Bombyx mori: one gene and its partner. The protein of the gene in region 1 purifies or fractionates together with the protein of each later gene. This does not show direct contact. Links are inferred from orthologs where the notes say so. Each region holds a gene or a part of one and is shown on either strand. Other genes may lie near its edges.

Region 1 (11,316 bases):
CTTGTGGAATATTTTAAAAGGGCATTTATATATTTGCAGTTTTCTAACCTCTTCACTATTTCCTACAATGTATCTCTACGTTGGCTACGACTGGGTAAAAATGTTAAATTTCGTTGTAAATAATCTTTAATACTTTATTTTGAGCCTCTATCGTTCTCATTTGTTGTCCTTTCAATATTTCCTTTCCAATAGGTTTGTTCATGAATTTTATTTGTAAAAAAACATTAAGTTTCATTTGTTTGATTAATTAACATTTTTATATCAATATTATATAGAGATCTGCACAATTACAGCTATTAATGTAATGTTTTTGCTGATTCATTATCTGTTTGAACAGTTAGAGAAGTGATTATTTCTGAATCTGTGTGGCACTCAATACTATTAATAATAGAAGTGAATGAAGTGAATCAATATATTCAAGTAGTAACTGTAATTACCTCGTACAAACTGTAAAAATGAATCCTATGTGTAGATCTTATGTCATAAAAACGTATTTGAAACGCAAATGCTAATTTTAAAAATAACTAATTTGTTTAAACGTCGCTCCAGACATAACAATAATTCTTCCAACATTATAAGAATCAACATAAACAGATTGATATATCTAGTAATTAATATGAACATTGTCAACAACAAAAATATTATGTAGACTGTCCAACTTATTCGTGGAAGTTGTTATCGTTTTTGGTTCAACTTGATAGCGACAAATTCAGTAACACAACCTTACTGGTTGTCTATTCCAAAGCTATTACGTTAGTCTTTTCCTTTTTTCCTCTTATTGCTTGATGCCAAAAATTTAGCTGCAAAATGGTAATAATATCGTAATACCAACTCTTTCTATTTAGGTTACATGGATAATGGAAAAATCGGTACAATATGTAACTAGAACCGTCTAAAAACTCGTATTTGTCTGGCACGAGACCAAAATAAAAACATTTATGTATAGTGCATAGCAAATAAAACAATTTATAAATGCACTCGGTCAATTAAAAATTATTCCTTGTAGTTCTTCCAGATAAATTCATACACACATATTATTAAGATCCAAATTTGAAAAATAAATATTAACCATCATTAAGTTACTGTGTTATATCACACCAAAGCCGTAAATGCATTTAGTGGAAAAAGAAATCTTCGCGCGAAAAAAAAAAATTCAAAATGTTGTGTGTCGATTATTTCAATATCCATGCTCATTAAGTACTATTAATTAATTATAGAATTAATGAGTAAATTCCATAATATAAACTCTATGTAAACTATAAGTGAGCTCCCTTGCTTGTAGGTGGATTGTTTTAAAAATGTTACCTTACTCCACAATCGCGAATCCTTATAGTCAATGATTTTTAGATTTAGGTATTACTTGTAAGAAATAAAATACCTTGTTTTATTATTTATTTGTTTCAATGAAAATTATATAGGTATATTTTTATTAATGTAACCTTACATAGTTATGTTGGCTGTAATTTAATATTGATGTAATTAATATATGTATTTTTATTTCACCTGGTTCTTTTATTTGTGATAAAAATAAAATGTGCTGGGTATTATTTTTATTCCGCACGCTGAGCCATTCCGTACAGTTGACGAAAATAGACGTCAATCCCGCACCATTTTTGAATAATGAATGTTTGTGTAGTAGAAAGGCTATGTTATGGCTATAGTATAATAGAAATGAAATCTGAACACATTTTTTTTTTTGGAACGAAGTTCCTTATCCCGCGTTGTGAAAGGGGGCTAGACGGAAAAAATTCTTACGAAAAGTTGTCACGACACTTTTTAGATCCGTCATTCTGACCAATCAACGTGTAGGCGCTTATCGCGTGACATTGCTCGTATCCGATTGGTCCGCGTAATGAGTACAGTTTCTCGAGATAGCGTTTCAACAATAGTCATTTAGTTCATAGTATTGTTTTTTTCTTCTTCATAATGCCGTAATTTATTACAATAACTTTAAAAAAAAATTACAATTCCTTCACTAATTAATCGAAAGGAACTTCGTTCCATCCGGGTGTCCCTTGACACCTCTGAAGTTTTTTTATTGGTTAGGTGGTTGGACGAGCTCACAGCCCACCTGGTGTTAAGTGGTTACTGGAGCCCATAGACATCCACAACGTAAATACGCCACCCACCTTGAGATATAAGTTCTAAGGTCTCAAGTGTTGTTACAACGGCTGCCCCACCCTTCAAACCGAAACGCATTACTGCTTCACGGCAGAAATAGGCAGGGTGGTGGTACCCACCCGTGCGGACTCACAAGAGGTCCTACCACCAGTAAACAACGACTGCCCCACCCTTCAAACCGAAACGCATTACTGCTTCACGGCAGAAATAGGCAGGATGGTGGTACCCACCCGCGCGGACTCACAAGAGGTCCTACCACCAGTAAAAACTCTTGGACTTGCTACATAAACAAATTAACAATTTGTAAAATAAAAACAATCAAAATTAAGTTAATCTACCAGCGCGGGCCCATCACGTCTCAGTAATTATACAATTCGTGTCGATTTCTATTTTACATGTTTACACGTTATCCCACCACGGAAGTGTTTTATAAACCAGTGTAAGGTCAGCATTGCATTAAAAAAAACTGCTGTTTACGTTCTTCGAACATTGCCATAGTCGTATCGTTTAATCGAATTACACCTTGAATCTTTTTATCATTTCGGTCACGACACGCCGTGTTTGAAATCTTGTTACAATGCGTCATGATAATGCTGACGCCGCCTCTGACTACACCCCGAATCCTGATCACGCAGAAGCAAGTCACCGTCGACGCCCTAAGCACGTCCTTACGGATCCATTAGATCCAAGAACTCTTGCATTAGACGTCTTCAGCTCTAACACTAGGAGCAGGTTTAGGGACCCCGGTAAGTGCTCATCGAACTCGGCAAAGGGTCCGACGTGCAACCTAACTGAAACAGCCCGCTGAGTTTCTCGCTGGATTTTCTGTGGGACCTTCGCGAAGCAACTGCTCTTGAGTTGTTAGGTCTGCTTTGGAGGCGCTTTGGCTGCTGTGCACCCCTCCTGACCGAGACTATGCTCGCGCACCTGTCCTGATAAAAAGGTAAAGGCCTCATTCATAAAAAAAGATAATTTATTTGCAATTGGAGTCAAAATATGGAGTCCGCCATTATGAAAAAAAAATCCTAAAAAAAATCAGTACTTCCCTTTGTTAGTAGCATCGCCTAATCTTGAATACGACAGTGGCATCGCTTGATAACAATACACCGGGTCTCACCTTTTAGGTGTTGACAAAAAATCTCATATCTTTATGAGATTGACACTTTTTCGCCATCCAAGTATTTGTATAGGCAATGCACATCTGTATTAACTTTTTGTATTCTCTCTTTGCTTAATTCATATTCTTAGAAACACAATAAATGATTTTAATGTTACACTACCTTTATTAGTAGGGGCGGAAACACAACTTTTTGGAATAAAGGTAATGAACAGAATAAAAACATAAAGATAACAGCAAACATTCGACTATATTTAGTTACAATAATGGATATACAATTGGAATCCGACTCTTCAACACATACACATCGTTCTTTAACATTCTAATTATTTATTTGGTAATGTAATAAAATTATCACCCAAAATAAAGTATGTTTTAACCTACATTGCAGATAAATATAATATACTATTGAAGGTACAATATGTTCGATTTAGATTAGTACATTAAATATAGATCTTTTTCTGCTTAACTGTTAAGCCTTAACACCAAAAAAGGGAATTTCCCTATTCACATCAGCGTTTCTTTACATTTCATAATTTTCAAATTACATACATATTTCATAGGTTTCATTAACTTTTAACATATCCTAAGGCTTGTTTACATTTATAATGATAAAAATAAAATGTAACTGTTTTTCTCTTTTTTTTCTTCATTAACACCTTGAATGCCATGCGGCCCACTTAAGGGCCTAGCGTACTTACTATACCATTCAGGCCAAGCCAAAATCAGGGAATCAGTAATTTTTAACAACTAGATTTGAATTCTAAAATATATAAAATGCGATAATTTGCACGGATGGTGAAAATTAGCGAATTTTACAGGCTAGTTTTTAAGATATTTTAAAAGGCAATAAATAATCTTGATAAGAACCAACTTTCTATGGGATTTGAAAACCAAGGCGTTCGGTTTGGTTAAAGGGCCACGCGGCTCACTTTCATACGCGTTTTGTTTGATAGCTGCAATTTGTGTGTAGGAAGCGTTTACGTTGGAACCCTCGCGTGACTCCCGGGCGAGCCTCATGGCCGAACGTTTCACTACGATAAGGCTTTTTTTTATTGCTTAGATGGGTGGAAGATATAGGCAGGACGATGGTACATACCAGTGCAGACTCACAAGACGTGCTATCACCAGTAAAAGGCTCACCGGTGAGCATCATGGCCTGAATGAAAATAGTCGATTTTTCATGTGGCGTTCAACATGTTAACGAAAAAGCAATATAAAAGATTCATGAGTATGAGCACAAAAATATCACGTCTTCATGTTGCCATTCAGGCAACTGACGCCAATACTAAATGATTTTCAATTGTTTATAGATGGTAAATATGATACTATAGTTACATTTGTTCCTGTTCTTTACTATTATTTTAATACCAAATGCTAGCTACAAACAGGCTCCCATGCCTTTGACAATATCTATATATTGCTATAAAGATGGCAATGGAAGCAAACATGATCATCACGATTTTATCCCATTGCATTATACAGAATTTGTTTCAGGCACTGTATGTAATGCATCCACCATGTGTAATCCTAAACGTGTGATTATGACCGACACCTCTGCAAGGGTTATGAATGAACTTTGGTTGTGACTGAATGAATAGTGTCACAGACTCACTAGATCAAACTTGTTTAGCAGTTGTGATGCAATTGAAGAATTGAATATTTTCAAAATATTAAACATTCTCAGTGCAATGTCTTTATATTTGCACATAATAAATAATATGCCTATAAACAAGCCTGCTGATAACGAATTTCTTAATTAAGAGCAGAACAGATCATTCTTGCCTGTTAAAATTAATGTCACGAATTCAACTCTTGAATGGCAATTTTCTCCTAATGGCTAGCTATTATCGGAATATTGTTACATCATCCCAACAGTTCAGATCAATTTTGCAAACTACTTCAACTTGTATAATATAATCGAATTTGATAAACTGCAGCATTTGATCAAATTTTTCTTTAATAACTGGCCTATACATTACCATTAATAATTTTTTCATACATAGATATATTTATTTTTTAACAACATCATTTTTGAGGAATGCAATAAGAAGACTTCATAATTCATAATTATAACATTTTTCTCTGAATTGTTAAACTTCTATTCCTATTTAACCATTTATCACTTAAATAAAGCTCACATTTAAATTTTAGTAAAAACCATGAAATAAGTCACTTTCACAATCTTTCTTTTCTAAGCTGTTATTGCAAATGTTTTGTGCATGGTTTTTTGTACATTATTGCAATGAAATCACACGATCCTTAACCCATTTATTAGACCTTAGACCAATACTGTAAGTCGACATTCATTGTGATGATGAAAATAATTCAAAATGTCTGCATCTGGACTTGTTTAACAATTGCAATTAAGACCAAAAATTTAATTAGTTAAGAATTCAAGTATACTACAGTAATCTGCAACAGAATAACAAGTTACAACATATGTACACTTGGTACCTTAGAGTTATTTTCATGATATACTATACTACTTTGGAATAATCAATTTTAATTAGTATGACATGATGACCCATTTGTAGTTTAAACATTAAACTCACTGCTCTTAAATTACTCAATAATATAAATAATAATGTTGTAATGTTAATAATTATGTTGCTCTCCAATTCTAACAAACCCAAAAGTCTTCAACTAATTTTTTTTTTTCTTGGCTCTTAGCCATAATTGTATGATTTAGAGTTACAATCATAATTTACAACACAAACGTAATCTCAAGAGGTAATAAAATAAATTATCCCTCTAAAATTTTTAAATTTTAGGAAACAAACTTCCAGACAAACATAAAAGGAAATTTCTTAAGGAAAAGATGATGATTCAATATTTGTTTGAACTTTTAATTCGATGGGTCAGGATAATTCTTCAAGCCTTTGCTAAAATTGGTTTTAGTATTTGTGGCTAGTTGCCACTCTCTTAGTGACAGGTTACAGATTAATCAGAGATACAATTATATTTTATAATCCCTAAAAGCTATATCAAACCTCATATAATTTTTTTAAATAGTACATAGCATTCAGCAACTATCAACAATACTACAATAGTTATGGCCATTTTTGTTAACAGTTAATCATAATAATATACTGTTCAAAAATTACAACAACTGTTAGTTTTTGCCGCAGTCTTATAAAATGCTTTACTGTGCATCGACAGGCTGTCTGACTTAGCAACCAAATCATCTAACTTCTCACCTCTCTCAAGTACAGCTTTTATTGTATCATGTAAAATAATTTTCGTTTCATCCAGATCATTTTGAATTTTCGTCAATGCATCAGCTTCTTTGGGATTTTGGTATTTTTCTAAATGTAAAGCCAATGATGGAAAATCAATTGTTGATTCTTTACCCGTAGCCCAAGTGCTTGATGGAACTGCAGCTGTAAACTCATCAAGAGTTTTAGTGATCAAAGTGTGTGCTACTCTGTTAGGATACTCGTGATCGGATATCAATACTCCAGCTAAATTATCTGCACGCACATACACTTGCAACATATACTCTCCTTCCTTAACTGATTGCCTTGATGCTGGATGTGTCCTCTCTACCATAGTTTTACTAACAAAAGTCATAAATTCTTGCACTGAACTTCTTTGAAAATAACTAAAACTCCGAAGATCATAAGCACCTTTCAGAATGGATGCATTATTAATCCCTTTGTACAATACAAGTAGTGCATAAACTTTCACCATTTTTGTTAGATAATTTTTATCGCTCGGTCTCTGAAAATTAAAACAGTTTTAATACAGAAAAACTACAAAAATAATGAAAAGTCTGAATTTTAAGAAATATATTAGAAGAATTCAAAATAAAAGAAAAAATATATTACCCAAGATTCAATAGCTCGTCGTTTAATTCGTCGTAAATGAGCCTTCTGAATGAATTTTACGTTTGTACAATCTTGGACGTGCTACAATATTAGATTACCCGAAATCAGACAAAAGTCTTAAAATTATTTTAATACATTTGTAAGATAATTTTTCTTCGTGAAATCGTAAAAAGTGATTTTTTACTATTTGGCCTTGGTTATTTGTCATAAATGTCTTAATGCCTACGTCATGAGAATATCTCTTTCACAGATTATTAAGAATTTTTTTAAGGGATTTTATGACCTGGTAACTAAGACCTAAGGGAGCTCATATAGAGTCCCTTCTTTATTTCGCCGTAGTCGTGTTTTATGTAATTAACACCACAGTTGAAACAATATAAATTTTATTGTTGTAGCGGCATAAACAATTCTAAGTAATTATATTACATTAGTTATTAAACACATTATAAATTATTTGTCGTTTTAAATATTTGGCGGTAAAAAGGTCCCGTGTCACAGACTATATTCTTTTTCCCACATCTCGTGCGTTCCGGCTTACGCATCATAAAAATGTGCGTTCATTAACGCCAGAGACCTTTAAGTCATGTTTTATTTTAATTTATTTTCTTATTTATATGAAAAATGATGAAATGAAATGAAGATTATTAATTCGAGACATTAATCAACTGGTATGAAATCAAATGAAATGAGATGAGATGATATGGGATGAAATATAATCTTAATAAAATGGTGGTCATCTACTGAGACTTTTTGGAGGATCCCGAGAAGTGACGTCCAGCAGCTTTGTTTCATTTTCCCACATTAGTGCACTTTCTTTTTTGTATTTTAACTACTTATTAATTCCTATCACATAGGTAAACGAAATATAGCTCCAACTTTTCTCCAAAAAACCGAAACCATGAATTACTACCAATACCAAGGTATGCACGCAACACTCTCAACACTGACAACACTGAAAGTGATTTGACAATTTATGAAATTTAAGGCCGCACAGGCAGAATAGCTAAGTTAATTAAGTAAATAATTCAGTTCAATTGATTGAAGTATCTCTATCTTGAAAAGACTATTTGCAGTGAAAGCTAATTAAGTAATACGACTGCAAAATGTCAAATATAAACTTACAATGTCTCTTAGGAATACAGTGCAACGACTTTGTTATGATAGCAGCCGATCAGAGCAACAGCCACAGCATTATGATCATGAAAGACGGTGAGTTTGCAAATTTGTAACAGAATCCTCTGTATTTTCAGATCAAATTAGTTTTATAAATAAAAACAGATCTAAAAACGGTTCAAGTAAACTTGTTAGGTTGCTTTTTGGCATTTTATTTGTACTAATGGAATCTAACTTCTAATACCAATTTTTCAAATAAACTATACTATATAATCAAAGTTTTTATTCTATTTTACAGATGAAGAAAAGATCTATAAGATATCTGATAGATTAGTAATGGGTGTCATTGGTGACTCAGGAGACACAAATCAATTTGCTGAATATATTGCAAAAAATATTCAGTTGTATAAAATGCGTAATGGGTATGAATTGGGGCCCTCAGCTGCAGCCAGTTTCACACGTCGTAATCTCGCAGAGTATCTTAGGAGCAGTGTAAGTTGTGTTTTTATTTCTATTATGATTGATTCATGACAGTTATTATTTTTCGGAGAGCTGAAGACTCAGTGGTATGAATTGAGATCTGTGTCGAGCAGTGGACGATTGTGCGTTGATGATGACGATGAACATTCTCCACAAAAAATCTTGATTCTTAATCAATTATTGTACCTATAGAATTAACTATTAGTTGAAAATTTTTGTACTGTTGAGAAGTTTCAATATTTATTCTAAAAAATTACAGACTCCCTACTTTGTAAATGTGCTCATGGGTGGTTATGATAAAGAAAATGGACCTGAACTGTATTTTATGGACTATTTAGCATCAAGCGTGAAGGTACCATTTGCAGCTCATGGTTATGGTGGATATCTAAGTTTGAGTATTATGGATCGTTACCATAAAAAAGGTTAGTAGTTAATAATATTTGTTTATATTTCAACATCTGTAAAAATATTTTATAAATTTAATAATGTATTAATCAAGTGGCAACTCAAAATAAAAACATTATTCATTTCAGATGCTACAGAAACAGAGGCATATGACATCCTTAAGAAGTGTGTTCAAGAAGTTCACAAAAGATTGTTTGTTAGTCTCCCCAATTTCCAAGTGACTGTTGTAAACCGTGATGGGATTAAAGTGCTGCCCACCATTAATTCTGCATCTCTTCAATAATTTTCACTTTTTTGTATGGAAAATAAACTTTTAAATGAATAAATTTTATGAGTAAGATGACTAGTGATCAAATTCATTTAACATCATAATATTATTCATACTGCAAGCTGGTATATCTTTGATGGTTGTTTTTTCTAACTGGTAATTACTATGGCTTAATTATAATAATAGGCTTATATGTATTTCAAAATTGTGTTGTTATATTTTAAGAAGTAGAATATTTTCTCTTAGTAGTAGCCTAAGAGATAATTACTACTTTAGGTAGCAGCTGTTTGATGGTGCACCTGAGTGCCAGACTATCAGCAACTTACCACCAAGTGGTTCGTAAACTCAACTGCCCACCATGGCAATAAAAAAAATTTACTACTCATGTGGGTAGACATGGGTAGAGATCCAAGCAGCGTGGGTCAGAACCTTTAGGATAGTTACAGACTACTCTTGATAACTTCTTTATCTTCCAATATGATAGAGCAGGTTCTTAGCACCAGACTCCTACATTACGTTGGAGATTGGCAGCTGATGTCATGATTAAAGTCATGGCTGTTCAGTGGGCATCCTTTGTGTGTACCATTCTCCAGAATCTCCAAGGAACTGAAAAAAGCCAATTGCTGTTCCGATGCCAGGACTTTTAACACGGGTGTTCCATTAAGTGCACTGCAGTCTCCCCCACGCTTTTCATCCTGCATATCAATGTCATGCGATCCATCGAGAACTTTTAAGGCGAATATCTAAATGAGATGAATTCAATTTAGTGACCTTTAAAAATTCATTGAAAGAATATTTGTCATGTCGCCGCAATTTAGAATTTGCACGAATACTGTAAAAATAAAACTTGCGCGAGAGTAATGCATACTCTTGCTTCTCACGTAATAAGCATGTTTATAGCATTACGTCTTATCTATTACTATTTCAATGAGATAATTTTTTTTTGTTGCTTTGATGGGTGGACGAGCTCACAGCCCATCTGGTGTTAAGTGGTTACTGGAGCCCATAGACATCTACAACGTAAATGCGCCGCCCACCTTGAGATATAAGTTGTAAGGTCTATGTCTGACCTAGCGTGGGGTAGGGTTCCCAACTCTGGGCGGGTCTCCCAACTACTAGTTGCTTTCATTTAACTCCTTGCAAAAGACGGCCGTTTGGATTGTCTTTTTTTTTTTTCCTACCTAAGCTGGTAGCCTAGAGAGGCTATTCCAGCGTAACCTTAACTAGTAGGTGAGCTCACGGGGCTCAAGCCTGTTGACGATGCTAACACGAACCCTAGCAAGAGTCGTGCTTCGCAGAATCTACCACCGGATCGGAATCGCGACCCACTGAGAAGATCCGGCGAGAAACTCAGTGGGCTCTGTCTGAGGGTTAATTTACTCGTCGAGCCCTTCGTCGCAAGCGACGGGTTCGACGAGAACGGTGACGGGTGCTTGAAGTACCTAGAAGCACCGTTAGTGGATCAGGAGGATCCGAGATGACGTGTTTTGGGCGACGTCGACTGTTTTCCATTCTGTCCGCTGGATCGGGAATGTAGTTACCGGCGGCCACGATGAGAGGGTTCTCGTGTCGTGCCGCTTTATCGAAGTGGTTGGATTGTCGATAATCTCATCACGTTCTCATGGATAATTTAGAACCTTGGAGTTTGAACTACGAAGGGACTTCGGTTCTCTTTGTTTTGTAACATGATCCATGGGGAGTTCTCTGGGGAATTGCTAAAGGTAGTTTGCCGAATGCCACACAATCTCGACTCTTATCCGTTCAATTATCAGATATCCGTTTTCAGAGATCATTTTTATCACGTAGTATTAGTAGGTAGGGTCGACTTTGAAATTCCCTCCGCGGTATTTTCCGGGCGCTATATGTCTTTTTTTGTTTGAAAATAATCTTATGTGGCAGGCAACGGTTCAGCTATGCGTTACTGATGCATATATGTGTATCGGTAAGCACCCCCATTAGGCAGAGTGTATGCTCGTCTACCT
Region 2 (9,389 bases), on another chromosome or scaffold:
TCACTTCGTCAAAAGCGTCCAATATGCGCTGTTTTAATTGTGCGAGCCTAACCGGCTCGCTTCTGTACACACATCTCTTAATTTCACTCCACAAAAGAAGTCCATGGGCGTGAGGTCAGGTGAGCGTGGAGGCCAAGCTACAGGCCCAATGCAGAAAATAATACATTTGCTTCGGTATTGTTCAGTATCCTGATGCAAAATGAAATCCTCGCTACATAATCAACGGTGGTTAATTCCTGAGATTTCCTGTAGTGATATGGATATAATCCGGCCTTATTAACAATCTTCCAGGCACAGGACTGGCTGTTGTTAAACCGTCGAGCAGTGTCATTTGTACTCCGTCGGGGATCCTCTTCAAAATACGCTAGTACATCGTCGTACAGATTTTGTCACAACGCCAGTCTTCCTCGTTCTTGACTATGTGACGGTGCGTGGAATGAACCGTGATCAAGCAAATGCTGGTAAGCATTTACCACGGTTCGCACATTTGGCTGTCGGGCGTTCGGGTACTCTTCCCTGTACATACGTACAGCTGCACTCGCGTTCGGGTATTCTTCCCTGTACATACGTACAGCTGCACTCGCATTTTCTCCACTCAAAAAGTACCCACGAAGCATAGCTACATACTCCCGTGATGTGAACTGATAAGCCATCGCATCAGGGAAAACTTAAACAAACAACTGTTGCAACGAAAAAAAGCATGCGCACACTTCCGCTAACAATTTAGTAGTGTTTAGGTTTTTGTCGTTATTGTTGAGTTGAGTTGACTTGAGTTTCCTGGAATTTATCAATGGAGCAGCGCCCCGTAGATACTAAAACCCTGCCGCACGTACTTTCGGTCATTGATTTAGTTATTTAGCATTTACCAATTATTACGTATTTTTATGGACAGTTCTGAGACTTCGTGTTTTTTTTATTTTTAACTACCATATAATATGATTAGTTAAAGATACTTAGAGCCCAGTTAATTTTTTTGTACTAATTTAAAAATAGTGGTGTATAGTTATAGGACCACGCGCCTGTTATGACAACAAATTTACTGAACATATAATTACGGTAACATTAAGGTTATTATGAGAATTAAATAACTCGCTTTTGGCCCCAAATTTAAAAACGACCCATTGATCATCACACGATATAATCTTTTGATACACACACACATGTTCGTTGGTGTCACTTCTTCGTCATTTAATTTAAATAGTTGGAAGTGAAGAGATCGACCTTCTCTATAGAAACATAAACACATTGTCATTAGTCTGCCAAAAATTGCTAAGACAAACAACTAGGTATACCCACATCAATTCTAACGAAGTGGTACAACAGTTAAATTAATATGCTTTTTGAGATTACATTGAAATGGCTGTTCCAGATGTTTGTATTGTGAAAATTTTGTTGAATATGTTTCAAATGACAGATGAAATTATTATTTTATTTCTATAGAATTTTTACGGCAACAATTTGTTGGCATGAAGAGAAACTAAAATCCATAAAAAGATGAAAATGAAACAGGACTGTAACCCAAAGAGTAAAAAAAGTAGATCTGAGATAAAAAAAAAATTAATTGTATTAATGCCGGCCACTGACATGCGCGCAAATATTCGTACATTGTACGAATGTTTGCGCGCATGTAAAGGGCCGTCAAACATTCATTCGCAAACCTAGCGGCTGTGCAAATGGGTTCGCATACTCAATTTGCGAACCCGTTTGCGCTTCCTCCTACACTTGTTTACGAATGTCTCACGAATTTCTCCTCCTTTTTAATTCGTCAATAGAACATTGAAAAGAAAAAGATTTTTGAATTCTTTCCCAGACATGATTAACAGCCATGCTGTTTTTATGGGATTTCTTTTGATGAAGATACGCTACACAGTAGACGTCACGAACTATGAAAACGGCGTTACCTTCGCAATCGTCGGCGCAACTGGGCAAGCGAATGTGTGGGAGACTACGCGAAGGTTCGAGGTTCGCGCGCTTTGATGTCTGTTAAAAAACCGACACAGCTTGGAAAACCACGAATGCAGCGAAAACTTTGCATAATCATTCGCAAATGTCGTCCTACACTTGCGGGTTTGCGTATTCGTGCGCATGTGAGTGACAGAGTGAGTAATGGACAAACTAAGCCAGAATAGTCTATGACTACCCCTACGTGTTAAGTGTATTATCTATGACTACGTGTCTGGAATCTATCGAGTGATTAAAAATAAAGGATTGTGGGTAGGTACCTACATACCTTATCTAAAAAATGGAATAGTGGGACTTGATAATTTAAAAGATAGATATATCATCGAGTTTTGAAAAGAATCGATGAGATGAAATGATAAATATTGTACACACATGAATGTACTATGAAAGTACGTAATTATTTGAACGCTATTGGTTTTCTAAGTAAGTATTGGAATGTAAAATTGTGAAATACTGCCTCAATTATGTAAATTGTAAGTTTTCATTTTCAAACAAAATATCCCCAATCATTAACAAGTAAAGCATATGTGTGGTGTAACAGTACTGTTTGACTTAATGTAATTTACTTATCAAACAAAGTTGACAACGTTTTTTCTGTAAAACTTTATAGGTGAAGACTGAAGACTACAATGCGATGCTTCCTCGAAGGCGAAATATAGGCGTTACAGAAAGACTCTTGGAAACAGAAACGGATTCATACAATAAATTAGATAAGAAAGGTGTTCATTACGGGGAATCGCGGCCTTACGAGAACTCATCAAATTCCAAATCAACATTGATTCTTAAATCATCTGACCAGGACGTGTTTAAATTTTTAGAAGAATTTGTTTTTGAACCAGTTATGGCTTCAAGAGATAGAACAAGTGAATTCATTTCAACTGTACGCAGTCTCCAAGGACGTTTCTTAAACAAACCAACCGTAAGAGATGATAGAAAAGCTGCTGTGTTGGAAACTTACTCCCAATTCATGAGTATGGCAAAAGTAATTAGTAAGAATATTACTAGTACATATACCAAATTGGAAAAGTTAGCCTTGTGTAAGTATTTTAAATGATTCAGGCATAAGTCCAATATGAAGTGTTATATTCTTTTCATTTATTGCTTTTATAAAATGTTAAATAAACATTTTTTTTTAATAAGATGTAAAAGAAACGCTACATTTGCTATAAACTAGGTACAAAGAAATTGTTCTCTAAAATGAAGTTAGGTCATAGAGGTAATGATACCAATACAAACAAAAATTGCCCTACAAGATTTATATTTTATGTATGTTACTGTATATCAAATCATGAAATTCAAAATTAATATTGTGAAAAAAAATAACAAAATAACTTCTTCAGCTACCTAAATGAATGAAGTAAAATTAATTGAAGTTCAACCAATCATGTGAAATTCAAGTGAAAACATCGAACTGTTGATGGTAATATCAAATAAAAACGTTAATTACTGAGATAAATGTAGTGTATTGAGCGAAACGTCTTTTAAACCAAACAGCCTTTCACTCCTCAATATATATAAAATATAAAAAATGAATATATCAAGAATATGATAACAGTCATTTACCACTAAGTTAATCTTAGTTTACAATTTATGACAAATTAATTAAACAACATCCCTTTGTAATCAGATTATTTTACAGTTCTTATAGGAAAATTTACTTGAAATGTTTAATAATTGTGTTGCAGTGGCTAAGAGGAAATCATTATTTGATGACCGTCCCACAGAAATTCAAGAACTAACTTATATTATTAAAGGAGACTTAAATTCTTTAAATCAACAAATTGCCAGACTAGGTGAAATGCCAAGAGGTCGTCGCAGTATGCACAGTCATTCATCTAGTGTTGTACTCGCATTACAGTCACGCCTTGCTTCAATGAGTAATCAATTTAAACAGGTAATTTGTTCCTACATATAATTGGTTCCTGGATATTTAAAACTTTGTAAAAATGGTTTATGCTCTTCTGAATTAACAATACCAAGTAAACTGATATGCTTTCATAAATATGAAGCTAAATTTATAAGCATATATATAGGAGCACGTTGCTAGAGTTGGCGAGCGATTAAAGAGCTATCCCTCCGGGAGCCGTGCTTTTTGGTCGCTCGCCAAAGCTGCAGAAGGAAACTTTTGCAGGTCTAGTCTCCCACCACTGCGCAAGTCCGATGACACTCTGGCCCACAGCGCGAAAGAGAAGGCTGACCTTCTGGTCAAACTCTTCGCCTCGAACTCAACTGTGGACGACGGGGGTGCCACACCACCGAACATCCCCTGGTGTGATAGTTCCCTGCCGGAGATCTGCTTTACACAGTGTGCAGTCAGGCGGGAACTCCGACTCCTGGACGTCCATAAGTCGAGTGGGCCAGACGGCATCCCTGCAGTGGTTCTGAAAACGTGCGCCCCTGAGCTGACACCTGCGCTAACGCGTTTGTATCGCCTCTCTTATTGCGCTAACAGGGTTCCGTCTTCATGGAAGACCGCCCACGTCCACCCTATCTCCAAGAAGGGTGACCGGTCGGACCCGTCGAGCTATAGGCCTATCGCGATAACTTCCTTGCTTTCCAAGGTGATGGAGCGAATAATAAATACACAACTCCTGAAGTATCTTGAGGATCGCCAGCTGATCAGTGACCGACAGTACGGTTTCCGTCACGGTCGCTCAGCTGGCGATCTTCTTGTATACCTTACTCACAGGTGGGCTGAAGCCTTGGAGAGCAAGGGCGAGGCTCTTGCTGTGAGCCTTGATATCGCGAAGGCCTTCGACAGGGTCTGGCATAGGGCACTTCTATCGAAGCTACCATCTTACGGAATCCCCGAGGGTCTCTGCAAGTGGATCGCTAGCTTTTTGGATGGGCGGAGCATCACGGTCGTTGTAGACGGTGACTGTTCTGATACCATGACCATTAACGCTGGCGTTCCACAAGGTTCGGTGCTCTCCCCCACGCTTTTCATCCTGTATATCAATGACATGCTGTCTATTGATAGCATGCATTGCTATGCGGATGACAGCACGGGGGATGCGCGATATATCGGCCATCAGAGTCTCTCTCGGAGCGCGGTGCAAGAGAGACGATCAAAACTTGTGTCTGAAGTGGAGAACTCTCTGGGGCGAGTCTCCGAATGGGGTGAATTGAACTTGGTTCAATTCAACCCGATAAAGACACAAGTTTGCGCGTTCACTGCGAAGAAGGACCCCTTTGTCATGGCGCCGCAATTCCAAGGAGTATCCCTGCAACCTTCCGAGAGTATTGGGATACTTGGGGTCGACATTTCGAGCGATGTCCAGTTTCGGAGTCATTTGGAAGGCAAAACCAAGTTGGCGTCTAAAATGCTGGGAGTCCTCAACAGAGCAAAGCGCTACTTCACGCCTGGACAAAGACTTTTGCTTTATAAAGCACAAGTCCGGCCTCGCGTGGAGTACTGCTCCCATCTCTGGGCCGGGACTCCCAAATACCAGCTTCTTCCATTTGACTCCATACAGAGGAGAGCCGTTCGGATTGTCGACAATCCCATTCTCACGGATCGTTTGGAGCCTCTGGGTCTGCGGAGGGATTTCGGTTCCCTCTGTATTCTGTACCGTATGTTCCATGGGGAGTGCTCTGAGGAATTGTTCGAGATGATACCGGCATCTCGTTTTTACCATCGCACCGCCCGCCACCGGAGTAGAGTTCATCCATACTACCTGGAGCCACTGCGGTCATCCACAGTGCGTTTCCAGAGATCTTTTTTGCCACGTACCATCCGGCTATGGAATGAGCTCCCCTCCACGGTGTTTCCCGAGCGCTATGACATGTCCTTCTTCAAACGAGGCTTGTGGAGAGTATTAAACGGTAGGCAGCGGCTTGGCTCTGCCCCTGGCATTGCTGAAGTCCATGGGCGACGGTAACCACTCACCATCAGGTGGGCCGTATGCTCGTCTGCCTACAAGGGCAATAAAAAAAAAAAGCCCAATTTAGTTCTTTGAAATTTTACTGATCTATATTATACTGTTCCACTTTTTTTTCGTAAAAGTTCACCATATTTTAAGTTTAGCTGTTTAATTATGAACGAAATTAAAGTCAGAAAATTTTATGATGTAATGAACTTATAAATTAATGTTTGCAGGTCTTAGAAGTTCGTTCAGAAAATTTGAAGCAACAGAACAGCAGGCGTGAACAATTTTCAAGGGTGACACCGGTTGTAAAAGAGGTACCATCTCTATTGCAACAAGATGAAGTAAGCATAGATTTGGGTGAAGCTACAAGTTTACAAGCACAGCAATTTGCATTCAGAGATGATACAGACTCATATGTACAACAGAGAGCTGAAACTATGCATAACATTGAAAGCACTATTGTGGAGTTGGGAGGCATATTTCAACAATTGGCTCATATGGTAAAAGAACAAGATGAAGCTATTGGTAGAATTGATGCAAACATTCATGAGGCAGAAATGAATGTTGAAGCTGGCCACAGAGAAATATTGAAATATTTCCAAAATGTAACTGGAAATAGGGCGTTAATGTTTAAAGTTTTTGGGGTTTTAATATTCTTTTTCATATTTTTTGTGGTGTTTATGGCTTAATAAAAAATAACTATTAAAAACTTAATTATTAATTTCAATTATTTCTTTTCCAATTTAAATGGCATCCAAGGCCCACTTCTACATATATGCATGATGTAAACATTACCCTAAACTATGATAGATGAAATTAAAATATATTTGGTAATGATTTAACTTTGCACGGCCGCCCATGGATCAGTACTACTAATAAGAGCCTAGGGGCCCTGCCGCGCTTCTGATTATCGTAATGGATGCATGGATTAATTACTGTTGCACCATTGACCTTGGTATTCCATTGTAATATTATGATGAAATGTGATGTAATGATGCATGGACTAAACTGGTGATGTTATTATCCATTTACTACAAACATATACCACATATGACATTATACTGAATGTATTCCAACCAATACCAAAAAGAAGGTAGCAATTATGAACATCTACATGATTTAAAAAACATTACATTATTTACAATTGAAATATATTGTCTAAGCTTTTTAGATATGCTATAAAATAAATAACAATTGACGCACTTCTTATTTTGATCCCTTAATAATTTACTCCTGTCTCTAACATTGCAGTAAGATATTCTGTAATGATGCATTCTGCACTGAACGAATATATTTCTGCTATTCCAATGAAAGTTAATGATTTTCATTGAGATTAACTCAATGAAAATTACTGCACCCACTCAATACTGTGATGCTTATTGGCATCTAAACATTAGGTGAGTGATATCATATGGTTATGCAAATATAGGTCATAAAAATGACGCACTTCTTAGAAAAGTAGACATTCTAAGAAATAGCTTAATAAAGTAAAATAGTTGAAAAACATTATGAGAACATATATTTGATTCTTTTGCAAAATATTTGGATTACTATTTATTGTTTTATAAATAAATTCAAGTCATTGTCATAAATAACAGAAGACTTCGTGTTTTTCCAGCAAAGATTATATTTAATTACTCTTAATTGGGACTTTATTTCTTCAACATTTTTAAATATTAAATAATACAAATAATTATTGTAGAACATATATTTTACTTATGTAGTCTTAAAATTACATTATGTACATTATTTCAAACAATGCAATAATAAAATATAATAAATGTTATATGGATAAAAATTACAAAAACTCATCACACCAATCCTTCAAACACTGATAACAATCTGCTGACTGTTTAGAGTTTGCACTGCAGGCGTCCTTCATCCATTCTTGAAATAACTCTTTATCTTTCTTTAGTACCAAAAATTGACCCAAGACGACATAGGCCTGAAAATGGTAAGTGTTATTTTATGATACATAATATAGTAAATGAGAAAAATAAAAAGGGAACAAATGTAATTATATTATATACTAGCTGACCCGGCAGAATTCGTAGTGCCTCAATCGATGAATAAAATACATTCTTATTTTTATTTAATTCCGAGCATTTTCATATTTATCTACCTTTTAAACCTTCTCTGGACTTCCACAAATACTCCAAGACCAAAATTAGCCAAATCAGTCCAGCTGTTCTCAAGTTAGCGAGACTAACGAACAGCAATTCATTTATATATATAGATTTTGGTATTAAAACTGTTATCTTGCTAGTAATTTTAATGAAAATTGCATCCAAAATCTGAAGACTATGTAAGAATGAATTAATCTTGGCATTTTCACGAAACTAATACATTTCACATTAGGGTAACTAACACTAGTTTAATGCAGAAACATTACTGCTTTGTAGTTGTTCTTGATTTATCTTTTTTTAACACCTAGGTATACATGTAATTGGTCATCTTGGAGGGCAAGGAAGCTAAGCAACATTTTTTTTAAAGATTTTATTCCATAATTGATTACTGCTTAATAACAACATTCTTTATACGATTTCTATCACAATTAATCTATGCAGGATTTAATTTAACTCTTAATGAAATAGTACTGAAATTTATTCTCAAGTTTAAAACACCTGCTTAAAGATATTGCATTAAACAGTTTTCCGAGCAGTATATATATGTAAAGATCAATTTTCAATTTGATAAGATTATTTTAAAACATTTAGGATCACTTGAGCATTGATGAAACATACAAAAGCTGCACTTTTGAGATAAAATTATACTGTAACCTTATCGAAGCCCCCGGTTTCAAGTCGTTTTCCTAAAACTTCACCCACGCCCGCCAATTCTGTTACTGGTTTCTCACCCATTGGCTCAGCAACAAAGTTTCTATGTTTTTGTGATGTACTCGACATTTTCGTAAAAAACTTTGTTTATTGTACTTATAGAAAGAAACAAATTTTATATTTGTCTATCTTTACGAAGTTTATTAGTTTTTTTGTGTATTTTGTTGTCATAAACTTAATTAAGTGTACCCTGTGTACCTATCTCGAATATATTAAGTGTATAATCTATGGTACCTATGTTTATGTATTATCTATGGACTTTTTGGCGGGAACGCGAGGAGTGAAGTTGTGTGATTTGTTTTATTTTGTCTATTTAGTGTTTCTTCAGGTTTAAATGTGTAATAATGGTGGTTTATTAACTGTTTGATATCTGTGAAAGTGCACAAATGTGGGAAAATGAAACAAAGCTGCTGGACGTAACTTCTCGGGTTCCTCCAAAAAGTCCACTGAAAAAATCTCAGTAAATGACCACCATTTTACTGCGATTATATCTCATCCCATATCATCTCATTTCATTAAATTTCATCCCAGTTGATTAATGTTTCAAATTAATCATCTTCATTTCATTTCACTCCATATTATCATTTTTCATAAAATTAAGAATATAAAGTAAAATAAGACATGACTTAAAGGTCTTAGTTACCAGGTCATAAAATCTCTTAAAAAAAAATTTATTATCTATGGGACTTTTTGGCGGGAACGCGAGCAGTGAAGTTGTGTG

The links.
Region 2: the proteins of synaptobrevin homolog YKT6 (region 1) and syntaxin 5A purify together in Homo sapiens (affinity purification with mass spectrometry; 3 studies listed by BioGRID and IntAct, with this or other methods). This does not show direct contact. The link is inferred for Bombyx mori from reciprocal best matches to the Homo sapiens genes YKT6 and STX5.

What each region holds. Positions count from the first base shown.
Region 1 is NC_085124.1:7,753,171-7,764,486, reverse strand, and holds synaptobrevin homolog YKT6, read right to left. Parts: upstream 7,304-11,316; 5' UTR 7,069-7,303; intron 6,962-7,068; 5' UTR 6,932-6,961; coding exon 6,335-6,931; 3' UTR 3,470-6,334; downstream 1-3,469. Other genes in the region: proteasome subunit beta type-2, read left to right, coding at 8,172-8,277, 8,480-8,673, 8,921-9,083, 9,195-9,349. UniProt on the Homo sapiens protein: Vesicular soluble NSF attachment protein receptor (v-SNARE) mediating vesicle docking and fusion to a specific acceptor cellular compartment. Functions in endoplasmic reticulum to Golgi transport; as part of a SNARE complex composed of GOSR1, GOSR2 and STX5.
Region 2 is NC_085118.1:10,681,746-10,691,134, reverse strand, and holds the end of syntaxin 5A, read left to right. Parts: 5' UTR 1-436; coding exon 437-461; intron 462-1,810; coding exon 1,811-1,962; intron 1,963-2,133; exon of another isoform or gene 2,134-2,345; coding exon of another isoform or gene 2,346-2,351; exon of another isoform or gene 2,352-2,385; intron 2,386-2,572; coding exon 2,573-2,999; intron 3,000-3,647; coding exon 3,648-3,856; intron 3,857-6,061; coding exon 6,062-6,520; 3' UTR 6,521-6,545; downstream 6,546-9,389. Other genes in the region: barrier-to-autointegration factor B, read right to left, coding at 7,630-7,776, 8,612-8,737. UniProt on the Homo sapiens protein: Mediates endoplasmic reticulum to Golgi transport.